3 linked regions of the Caenorhabditis elegans genome follow. The protein of the gene in region 2 interacts with the protein of the main gene of each other region in a pairwise test. Each region holds a gene or a part of one and is shown on either strand. Other genes may lie near its edges.

What was found.
Region 1: the proteins of tsct-1 (region 2) and Y39C12A.9 interact in a two-hybrid assay, tested with the Caenorhabditis elegans proteins (one large-scale study listed by BioGRID).
Region 3: the proteins of tsct-1 (region 2) and sptl-2 interact in a two-hybrid assay, tested with the Caenorhabditis elegans proteins (one large-scale study listed by BioGRID).

What each region holds. Positions count from the first base shown.
Region 1 is NC_003282.8:12,257,086-12,260,843, forward strand, and holds Y39C12A.9 (J domain-containing protein), read right to left. Parts: upstream 2,127-3,758; 5' UTR 2,108-2,126; coding exon 1,966-2,107; intron 1,651-1,965; coding exon 1,411-1,650; intron 952-1,410; coding exon 638-951; 3' UTR 440-637; downstream 1-439. Other genes in the region: sre-14 (Serpentine Receptor, class E (Epsilon)), read right to left, coding at 2,807-2,983, 3,040-3,118, 3,166-3,299, 3,351-3,470, 3,517-3,575, 3,668-3,758.
Region 2 is NC_003284.9:12,432,165-12,435,922, reverse strand, and holds the start of tsct-1 (Protein tsct-1), read right to left. Parts: upstream 1,827-3,758; 5' UTR 1,770-1,826; coding exon 1,752-1,769; intron 1-1,751.
Region 3 is NC_003283.11:8,016,186-8,019,943, forward strand, and holds the start of sptl-2 (Serine palmitoyltransferase 2), read left to right. Parts: upstream 1-1,755; 5' UTR 1,756-1,761; coding exon 1,762-1,892; intron 1,893-2,973; exon of another isoform or gene 2,974-2,978; coding exon of another isoform or gene 2,979-3,025; intron 3,026-3,079; coding exon 3,080-3,245; intron 3,246-3,291; coding exon 3,292-3,423; intron 3,424-3,758. UniProt on the Caenorhabditis elegans protein: Component of the serine palmitoyltransferase (SPT) that catalyzes the first committed step in sphingolipid biosynthesis, which is the condensation of an acyl-CoA species and L-serine.

The sequences.
Region 1 (3,758 bases), on a different chromosome or scaffold from region 2:
TGTGGAATTCGTAGTAAAAGAGATTCCGTAGTAAAAGATCCAATTGTAGTAAAAGATCTAGATGTGGAATTCGTAGTAAAAGAGATTCCGTAGTAAAAGATCCAATTGTAGTAAAAGATCTAGATGTGGAATTCGTAGTAAAAGAGATTCCGTAGTAAAAGAGATCCTGTAGTAAAAGAGATGCGTAGTAAAAGATCAAGTAGTAAAACAGTATTTGCCCAAAATTGTTTATTCCACGTTCCAATGGTGTTCGATGCATCACTCTTACTCGTCCAAAGTTGCTCCGACAAAGTTTTGAAAATGTTCAATTTTTCTAGGTTTTCAGTCGAACTGCTCCAAAATGTTTTTGGAAAATTTCCAATGATGTAAAATTTTTCTATGAGATCATTCGAACTGATCCAAAGTTGTTCATTCAGAGTATTGAAAATATTCAATTTACTCATTAATTAAAAAATTTTATTTTGCCAAAAATTCACTAAAACGCAAAACGTAATGTTACAATTACAGAGATGAAGCGAATAATGAGTTTTATAGATATTTATATAATATATATTTAACAAAAATTATTCATGAAAACTCGAAAAATGAGGTGACAAAAAAAGTTGAAGAAAAAAATATTTTGAGCCATTTACAACTGTTACAAAGTTACTAAGTCGTAATCAAAGATTCTGGCATTTCTCAAAAATATACTTGGGCTGCTCAAAAATTGATTCGTCCGAGTGAAAGATGAATCAAAAATGTTTGAGATAGCTTCCTTTGCTGGAGGAACCACAGTGTCTTCGAAAAACCTCCAGAAAAACTTCAGAATTGAAACTGCCGTCCTTCCCATTCTTTTAAAAAAGAATACAGTTACAGTCCACCGAATCAGAAACATAGCAGCACGTTTGAGCAATCGGCCATTATCATCATCGTCGCCCTCCGATGGAGTGTCGGTTATTCGTTGAGGTGCATCTTAATATATAAATGTATATTTAAAAGAGATCTATCACTTGTGGGTTTCATAACTTAATTTGATGTGCTCATTTATATCAATGAGAATATAAAAAGAAGTACAAAATGTTTTTTTGAAAAGTCTTGTATCGATTGTTTTCTTCGAATAATGCTAACGAGTTTAAAACTAACTAAATGTCGATTTTTGTCTAGAAGTTTATCGAAAATTCGGGTAACACGAAATCATCGACGTTTTTTTGTTGTGAATTAGTAAGGAATCCTCGTAAAACGAATGAAAAATAGAATATTATTGAAATTTTAAAAATAATGTAAAGATTTTGGAACAAAAAAGTAGATGTGCAACAATTATGGAGACTGCAATACTGATTTTCAAAGGTGTCTTTGGGCAATCGTAACGGATACGCAATACTAATAGATAATAAACGGTATTTTCTCACGGTTATCAAAATATGAACGTACTTGAAGGTTCGCCATAACGTTGTCTCAATTGATGATCTAGTGCTAGTTGGAGTTTATCAAGGTCACACCCGGTATAATCGTAAGGACTTCCAGTATTTGGATGATAATATGTTTGTCTCATATTATCCAAACTCCTATTTGAATGAGAAATGCGTGAGTTCCTTGATATTCCATCAAGCTGTCTATCATATTCTTCGCGTAGGCCTGGATCGGAAAGCGTAGAATATGCCAGACCGAAGGCTGAAATTATTGTTTTTGATTAAACGTGGACAGTCGTGACAGGTGGGATAATTTTCAAAAAAGTCACAATTTATAATTTTCAACAATGTAGTCAGTTTTCCCTGTGTTCCATGCGAAAATTAAATCCCTTGTCACTATCATAAAATAAAAATAAAATAATTTTGAACATTTTTTGAATACCCGTTTCAGATTTTGCGGTTTTGTAGCACAATTTATCAATTCAATCAGAAAAAAAATTCTTCATCAAAATATTCGTCAACCTCCTAGTCTTCATTAAGTTCTCAGTAAATTTCAAGTGCAATTTTTGTCACGTACCTAAATCCTTTTTAAACACGTATGGATCATTCGGGTCTACTTTTGCCATTGAATTCATATATGCATTATAAATTTCAAAGTGAGTTGCATTCTTGCGAACTTTCAGAACTTGGTAATGATTCTGATTTTCAAATGAAGACATTTCAATTGTCGACCTGAAAAATTCAGTTTACTTAAAAAACAAATTAATTGAAATACTTAACGATTTGGTAATTTGTAAAAAGAAAAAGGAAGTTGTTTTTTTATTAACTGGGATATAATATAATTTCTATTTCTTTGATTTCGTATGTTTTTCTTGAAATTCTTAAAAATTGTCAAAGAATTTTGTGAAGGTTCCGGTGAAAAGGGGCACGTTTGTTTCAAGGTCCTGTTATGTTAAAAAATCGATACAAATCAATTTTTATACTAAACTATCCAAACAATATTCCGATTAAGCTTCGTAGTTATTGTTACATGTAAGTTCTACTAGCTTTGTACTCCAATTTTCTTTTTGAAAGTTTCAAAAGTAACAAATTCGGGTGATATCGTAAAATGAGATTATGAGCATCGGAAAAGTCGAATAGACGACAGAAAAGATGTATTGCATAGTTGGCCGCATTTTTCTCTGCAGTCTCTCGGTGCGATATTTAACACGCAAAGGGCCGTACCACGACACCCGCCGAATTGAGGTAAATGCGGTCACGGCCACCAAGGGGATTTTAAATTCAGAGTTTTTCTTCGAGAGACTCTGAATACTGACAACATTTGATTAAAAACTTTTTATTGTAATTAATGTACCCGAAAGATAACAGGATATGATTGAAGAATTAAATGTTATATCACAAACTCAAGATATAAATAATTATAAGCAAGGTTTCTGCATACTCCAGGATGAATTCAATTGTTCGAAATAAGTATCCGACTGTCTTTTGATATCAATATTCATCTCAACTCCGAAAGTGTTTCGCAAATTGAGATTACTCGCTTCGGGTCCGATTTCTGTCACGTCGATTCGTTTTGTTTTGAAACGGGCGGTTATCTGGTGAGTTTAATTTGGCCTCGGATTCTGGGACTGTAGTTTTCCTATATACATACCTTCGACAAAACTCTCTTGAACTCTTGATGCCACCGAATATTGAACTTGTATATAATATAAGGTGTAAGTATTGTGTATCTGAAATTTATCTTTTAAGGTCATTTGAAAATAGTACTAAAACTTACACGCTGAAGCTCAACTCGAACAAAGTGATGCAGAGATTCCGGTAGAACCAATCTATTTCAAAACTGGCCACTAACATCAGAACCGGACAGAGAATTGTGAAGAAGAAGATACTTGAAGCAAACCGAATGAAAAACTGGAGAAATTGGATTTTATGAATTGTGGTTTGTTTTCTTACAAAACTTACAAAGTAAAAATGAATATTATCAGAAATCTGATACCTTTCAGCCAAACAGTATTTCCCGTTGTAACTTTGTTGGCAGGCTCGATAGTATTTCTGATTTATTTTGTAGTTCAACATGTTACCCTGGAAAAATTTAAATAACTATGTTAGGGATTATTTCCGAACATACCAAGCAACTAGTCGCACTCAAAACAAGTAGAAAAACTGTGTGGTAGAAACTTGTTGCAACTGAAATTTGAATTTTTTGGTTTTGAATTTTATTTTCTTTGAAAGTTAATTTTAACACAAAGCTGTTTTTTTTCCAAATATTATCTGCTCACCAATTGCCAGTGAATATGCCAAAAGACCTCCTGCTGTGTACAACCCGATTCCAATTATAATCCCAATCCACCATCTATTTTTACGCTCATA
Region 2 (3,758 bases):
GACATTCCAGTGAATTGTAAGATTTCTGAGATTATATTTGAAGTCATTGTCAAAAAGAAAAATATATAATTCTTCTGAATTATTATTTCAGAGAGAAAGATTTTGAGGGAGTTTTAAACAAGACACTGCGATTTCTCGTTTTCAGTCACTAGAAATGTCACAGTTTATAAGAGCAAAATAGAAAACGAATGAAAAATTGAATGCTGTACATTTCTCTTGCTCTATACTGGCTGCTACCCCACTTTTTCAATCACACTGTACGCTTCTCTGTGTGCCCAGACAAAACCATTGAAAACTACTGCTCTGCATAGCCCGCAAAGCAGGAAAGCTATTTTTCAATCGCAAATAAAACGAAAAAAGCGCATGGGAGCGCGAGATAGAATGCAATCTTTTTTTGAAACTTCGATTCTGTAGTAATTATGCAAGTTGTGGTTGCAACAATGGTGCTCACAAAAGAGTTGCGAAGAGTAAATATGAAAAGGGCACATGAATAGCGATCAAATCAAATGACGAACTGATAAAAAAGATAATATGTAGTTGTCATGTGTACTCTTGAGCGAACGTGCAAAAGAAAATTGGACACATAACATTCTGAACTGGAGTTTGAAGGCGGAGAAGATCCAAAAAGGAAATTGTTTTTGAACAAATTAGCTTTGAAGCTTTCTCTATTATTCTTGCATGCAAGACTAATTTTCAATTGGTCCGTAGGGATGTAAGACTAGGCCTGTGGAGTGGGTCGCCCCATTTTTTGGGTCGGTCGGGTCGGGGTAGGAGTCGGAAATTCTAATATCATGAGAGTGGTTTTGTATCATTTGGCTCTATATGCTCTCCTCATTTTTCAAACAGAAGTTCAATTTAAATGTTACGCTTGGAAAAGAGCAGCACACCACACTTTTGGCTCATTGTTGATTGGTGTTTTTCATCGCGTAAAAACTGGAAATTTAATTGAATACTTTTGGCACTCGTATTCGGAGGGTCTCATTGACCTTTAACTTTGTTTTCTGCAAAAGTCTCACAATGTAGGTGTTTCAAATTACGTTGCATTTGATTTTTTAACGACATGAAAAAATTTCAAGATTATACTTGAAATTTATGTGTTCAAAAATGTTACTAGAATAAATTATTTTCAATTTTTGAAAGAAAATGTTCCACATTCTTTATACATATCTTTGTACATATGGCAACTAAACGTTTGCGAAATTCCTAACATTGAACAAGACAAATTATTTTCAAATTAAATTGATATGCTGTTGAAGGAAAAATACGTAAAAATAAGAAATTCTAATTTTAGTTATTGTTTATTCTTATATTTTATGAACGCAAAAAGCACTTGATTAAACAACAGAAATCAAAAAGTTAAAAAGAAAAGTTGCTGTTCAGACTGACGGGGGTACGGATAATTCATGCAAATCGGTGTCATTCTAAAAATCGATATGTGGAATTGAATCAGAAAGGAAATCGTCGAAAAAATTACAGTTGACTCACGATTTCTGTATTTTAGAGTTTGTTTCGCGGCAGTCACGCGTTTTACATTGGCGACGGTGAAGAAGCAAAACGAAAGGACAACAAAATTGCGTAGAGTTTCTCTTTCTCAACCAACCATCAAAAACGTTTAGATTTGGAAAACGTGCTGGAGATAAACAAAACACATACATAAACACGAGGTCATTGACAACGAAGAGCCGGTTGTTTGATCAGGCAGATCATAAGGAGACAAGGTCATGTGGTTTATCTTAAAAATGAACACTTACTGCGGCAAAGATGAACATTCTCAGTGACAGGATCCCTTGCTGCGGTCTCTTTTAGCTGTAACTACCCTGAAACTTTAAGTTATTTGTATCTTGTAAAACCAACGTTATTGACAATAGAGAGCAAAAAAAGTTGTGAAGATATAAACGCAAACCATAAGAAGGAGTAACGGTTCTGCTTTTTATTTGAGTAAAAAATTTTAAAAATTGAGGTTCCGCAGGAATCTTAAATTTAGGCCACTTGTCCGCGGAGCGACTGGAAAAAATATTATTATTTAATCACAACCTCATTTTGAAATTTTGTGTCGTTTATGAAAAATTCGCTAGTTTAATCTCAATTTCTACAACAGGGTAAAGTTGATAAAATTTTAGAATTTTGCTATATTGAGTATTTTTTTGTTAAACTTTTCAACCGTTAAAAAGAAAAAGAAAAAACACTTTTGTGAAATTTTCAAGAAGTTTCATCCTGAGAACAAATTTGCAAAGTTGAATGCAAAATTTGATTTTTTTTATCACTTTTAAACTTGCGTTGAACTTACGTGAAACTATCTTATATTAATGATTGATTGGTAAATTCACAAAAATTATGCCCCATGTTACAGATCTTGTGAAAATTAATTAATGTGTGAACACATATTTTTAAAGTTCAAGAAGTTTTTTAATTGAAATTGTGAACAAAACCACGTGATGCATTTGCGGACGCACAGAGAAATTTGATATTCACTAGGAACATTAAGTATGTTTATTTTTTCGTTTTTTTGTATGTTTTAAATATTCGCAACAAAAATTTCAATTGTTTTAATTATAACATTTATGATATTTGCAAAGTATTTCATCTGATTAAGAGTAAAAATAATTTCTGTTATTTTCAAATATCATAAATAAGAAAATAAATGAGAATGGCAAGATGAAATATGAGGAAAAACGGGTTTGTTGTAACATAAATAATGCTCATCGCACATGTGCAAATACATAAAATACGTAAACGATGAGATAAAAAAATTGAATTTCTCGAACGTCTCTATGTGTATCTAATCCGATAAACACTAGTTTTAGGGAGTTATGAGGATGTTTTTCGTCTTGTTTTCTATTTTATTTTTAAAGATTTTATTTTTAATTATAATTTTAAAGAATGTCAAAGTGTAGAAAAACCCAATCAACAAATGAGCAGAAAAATTAAATGAGCACTCAATGTCCTTTTTTGGAAGAGAGCAGATGGTAGTTAAAAGCTAAAAAGACGCGGAACCCTTTTTTTCAAATGTGTTCCTCTGTGACGGCTGGCTTTTATGGGTTGAATGAAAGAATGATGGTGTTAGGGTACCACCCGACACAAAACAAAACAGAGCTGTTCTGCAAGATCAAAATGACGTTTTTTCAAAAATATATGCCAATTTTCTTAAAACTAAAAAAGAACAAAACTGATACAAGAATTGAAATTCCCAATGGGGTAAAATTCGAATGGGATGAGAAGAGGAAATGGGCGGAGGAAGGGGGCAAAAACGTTAATGAAATTTTGTTTCAAAGTTTTGTTTGCCCAAGGCTATTTTCTACTTTTTACATTACTTCAAAAATTGTAATTTCAAAACAAAAGTGGACTGGAAAAAATTAAAAAATAAAAATATTCCAATGGCTGCGCTGCAAACAAACAATTGGATGCTTCCAGATTTTCCAAATTTGCTGAAAACAGAATCGACAGGTATTTTGGGCAAATCTTCCTGCACAAATTGGGAATTTAACCTTGGAGCTCAGAGAAAAATGATCTACATGCAAATGTATCTATATATATTATATATATATATATATATATCTAGAGAATTTATCAAAGTATTAATTTGGCAATGTTGAAAATAGGTAGAGAAAAATCACAATCCCAACTATTTTTTTTCGAATATGGGTGTAATTGTTCTTGGTATATATTGAATAACGTTTTACACTTTACAAGTACTATCTCTTACATAAAAAATAAAGGGGAAAATGATTAAGCTACATCAAAAGTTCGAGAAAAAGTAA
Region 3 (3,758 bases), on a different chromosome or scaffold from region 2:
ATATGATGCAGGACAAACAAAGACAAGATAATCTGATTCCTGTAGTTTTTTTTCTAACTTAAGTTGCCTGAATGCTCCTAACTTTTTGTATGTAGTGAAATATTCTTTAAAAACGGATATTCTATATGATGTTTCACTGAGAAGTTCAGTACTTCAGTAAAATGTTAAAATTCTTTCCCTGTAGCATATGGCAAGTCATATTTTGTTACCCAAGCTCGGCTCGTAATCTGTCACAAAAAAGGCACACTTGTGCTCTGACTACAAATAAACTCATAGTTTAAAAATAATTTCGAAACTCTTGTTGAGAATGAATCTCCATGACGGCAGACGACCTCATCCTTTTCCGTATCTCTTTCTGGCTTCTCTCTTGTTTAAAGTGACCACCCATCGTTTTGTGCCATTTTATGTTTTTGTGCTCATTTATGGCTTTTTGCGCATTTTCAAGTGTTGACTACGCTTTCAAATGTACAGTGCTTTATGTTTTTTGTAAGGAATCTATCAAATTCTGGCACATATGACAGTCCGAAGTTAGTCACACAATAATTATTCCTGAGAAGATTTCAACTACATACTCTTTCTGTAGGTCAAATGAAACATCTATAGTTAAATAATTGTGAAGCAAATTTAAATTTCTAGATAGGGCTTGGTCGGTAAAATACGCCAAAATTGATTCGCGTCAATGAGAAGTTACTTAAACTTTGAAGTGAACAGTTTTTTAAAGAGCAACAACAGCCTTGCTCCTTGCTCAGAGTTTCTAAATTTTAAATGTCTTTGTTGTGACTTTGACATGTTTTTGATTCTAGAAGTTTCCACAACCTGGCTATCCCAAAAGATTGTTTGTTTAACTAATTGTTGAGATCTCAAACTGCCAAACAAGTTTTCTTGCTCTTTTTTTGCCTTATGTCAACTCAATTTCGTTCTTCTTGAACATTATTTACCAACACGGGTGTACCTATAGTGCGTACCCTGTGTTATCACCATCCGCTGTCATTCTTGGGCAGTTTCTTCGTTTTGCACTTCTTTTAGATGAGTCATTTTAAAATTGAATATTTAAAGTTTTGAAGTATTAAATTTTGAAATTATAAAGAAGCGTTAGCTCAATGGCAAAAGTTTAAGTGTAGTCTGCACGGATTTATGTATTCATGAGTTGCGTTCTCAAAAATTCATTCTTTTGAATTTTCCGTTTTCGTGATTTCATTTGAAAGCAACTTAAACATTTTTTGTTTTTTTTTCTAATGATGTTGCTCGTGGCAAAATTCGCTGTATAGGGATCTCCTTCTCCAGAAGTCCATGCCTTCCGCTTACCTGCCTACGTGCCTACTACATGTTTTCTGGAATTAGAACTAATGTTTTAGGATTCGCGCAATACTTGTACATATTCAGTCTTCCGTTAATTTGTTGAACGTTACAAATAATTTCACGTTTGCAGGAAAAAAGTTAATGTTGATTTTGGCTGGCATGATTTTTTACATTTTGATGAACCTGTCACAGTTTTACGCCCTTTTTGAAATTTAGAAAGTGACTCAAAGATACGAATTGTGCAATTCTTCTTGGTGAACATAGAACGAGAAGAGCACAAATCATGAAATATGAATAATATATATTTGAGGAATTTTATGCTAAACTTTGAACAAAATCACTTTTAAAAACATATTTTCCCATTACTAGCGAAGAAACTGTTTAAAAAATGGACTTTCCTATTTTGTATTGCTTTCTAAAAAATACACAATCTACTCGAATTCTAACTTTAAAACTTTTCAGATGACTTCTGAGGTAGCGAAACGAAATTCGCCATTCAGATTTCTACACAAGCTACCAATTCGACTCACATTCACCGAAAAGAAATCACCTCTTTTGATCAGTGATCTTGCGAAACAACGAGAAGAGAATGAGTGAGTATATTCTTATCGTTTTTTTTTGCAATCAGTTGTGCATGGCACCTTATCAGTATGTGTTAACTTATATGATGCCGATACAATATAGTTTGATGATATGAGGCGTTGAAATTTCGAAATATTGAAAAAATATGGAAAATAAGGCATTCGGGGGCGCCTCTTCACTCGCCCCCTCGCGCCCTTCTAGCTGCCTTTTTTCACGCTTACTTTCAAGCAGTTCAGAACGAACAACACACTTCGAGAGTGGAATTATTTTTCAATCAGGTTGCTTTGAACATAAATTTGTCACACTCAATCACAATTTTTCAAGAGAATTATTGACTTTATTGCAAATATCTATTGACTGAAATGGATAAATGATGATATTTTAAAAAATCTACTCAAACAATTACAATTTTTATTTGCTCACAAACAAACAAAAATCATTTTGATCATTTGGCTTTTGAGTAGACAATTGATGAAAAGCAGTAGTAAAATCGACTGATAAATTTAATTCTAGAATAAAAATAAAGGAATTGATGGGGCTGAAGATTTACACAACTTGTAGACTTTCAAAAAAAAATTGAATTAAAGTATGCCCTAATAGTTTCGTACTGACTAGTTGTCAGAGCAGCCATATGCATGTAAATTTTGATAAAGTCGTCATTTTTAGGATAGGCAAAAGAATCTTACTGAATTCAAAGGCTCGAATAAAGCATGGAAAAGTTGTATTTTTTCAAGCTTTAAACATTATCAAGTCAAGTTTTTGCCCAAGATTGATTAAATTTTCAAAGCAAAAAGAAGTTCGAAAGTTAGTTTTTTCTCTATGTCAATTGAAAATTGAATAAATTGAAAATCAATTGAAAATTAGTATTGCATGCAAAACTAATAGAAAAGTTTGCTAGTTTTAATCCGTCGACGGAGAGAGATCTCTCCATTTCTGTGAGTATCCGTTCTCGGAGCACGTACACACATGATGTGCACCGCCTGTTTCATGTATCTTCCGATTCCGTGTCCGTTTTCCGCCATAGCAGTCCACGAGTTCATTGTATTATTTCTCTATTTGATAAGAACTGACATTCTATCATTTACTCTGCATTTGCAATGTCTCGACGCACCGATTCTCTCTGTCTAGATGAGTATCTCAGCAGGTTGATTAGCTTTTATTTTTTATCTTATAAAATAAACACCGCAATAAATTTCAGTGAGCTCAAAAAGCGTACCCATATTCTGGAATGTGCTTGGAACCAAGAACATGATGATGATGAAGAAGAAGAGGAAGTAAAAGTAGATCAAGGATCCGAAGAGACTACATCATCCCATGATATCTATGGAGATGTTGGAAAACGAGCACCAAATGAGTTTGAAAAGGTTTTGTCTTTTCCCAATAGCTTTCTGAACATGTAATTATTTCCAGATTGATAGATTGACGACTATCAAAGTTTACATCGCATGGCTCGCTTTATTTGTGTTCGCACACATTCGTGAATATGTAACCAGGTTTGGGTTTGTGAAGGACTTGTCGAGCAAAGAAAATGCGAAGATGAAGGTGAGAATGTAATCTTACTAACCATATACAGTAGGTTGAAATATTTGTGTTATATCCAAAGTGTTTGAAAGTTGATTTGAAAAAGGTAGATCTGAGAAAAAACAGTTGTTTTGAAAGTTGGAAAGTTTCAAAAATTTTCAAAACGAGGTATTTAATAAGTATTTTAAAATCTAATTTTGTAGTCTTACGCTTCATTTTCCATCAAATTATTAATTGAAAGCTCTCAATATTCAGCTTAAAAATTGCTTCTACTCAAGCTTCCGTTTATCATGAACTTCCTGTTTTCCTCTTCCTAGAGTCTAATGATCTCATGAACATTTTAATCAGTCTATTGC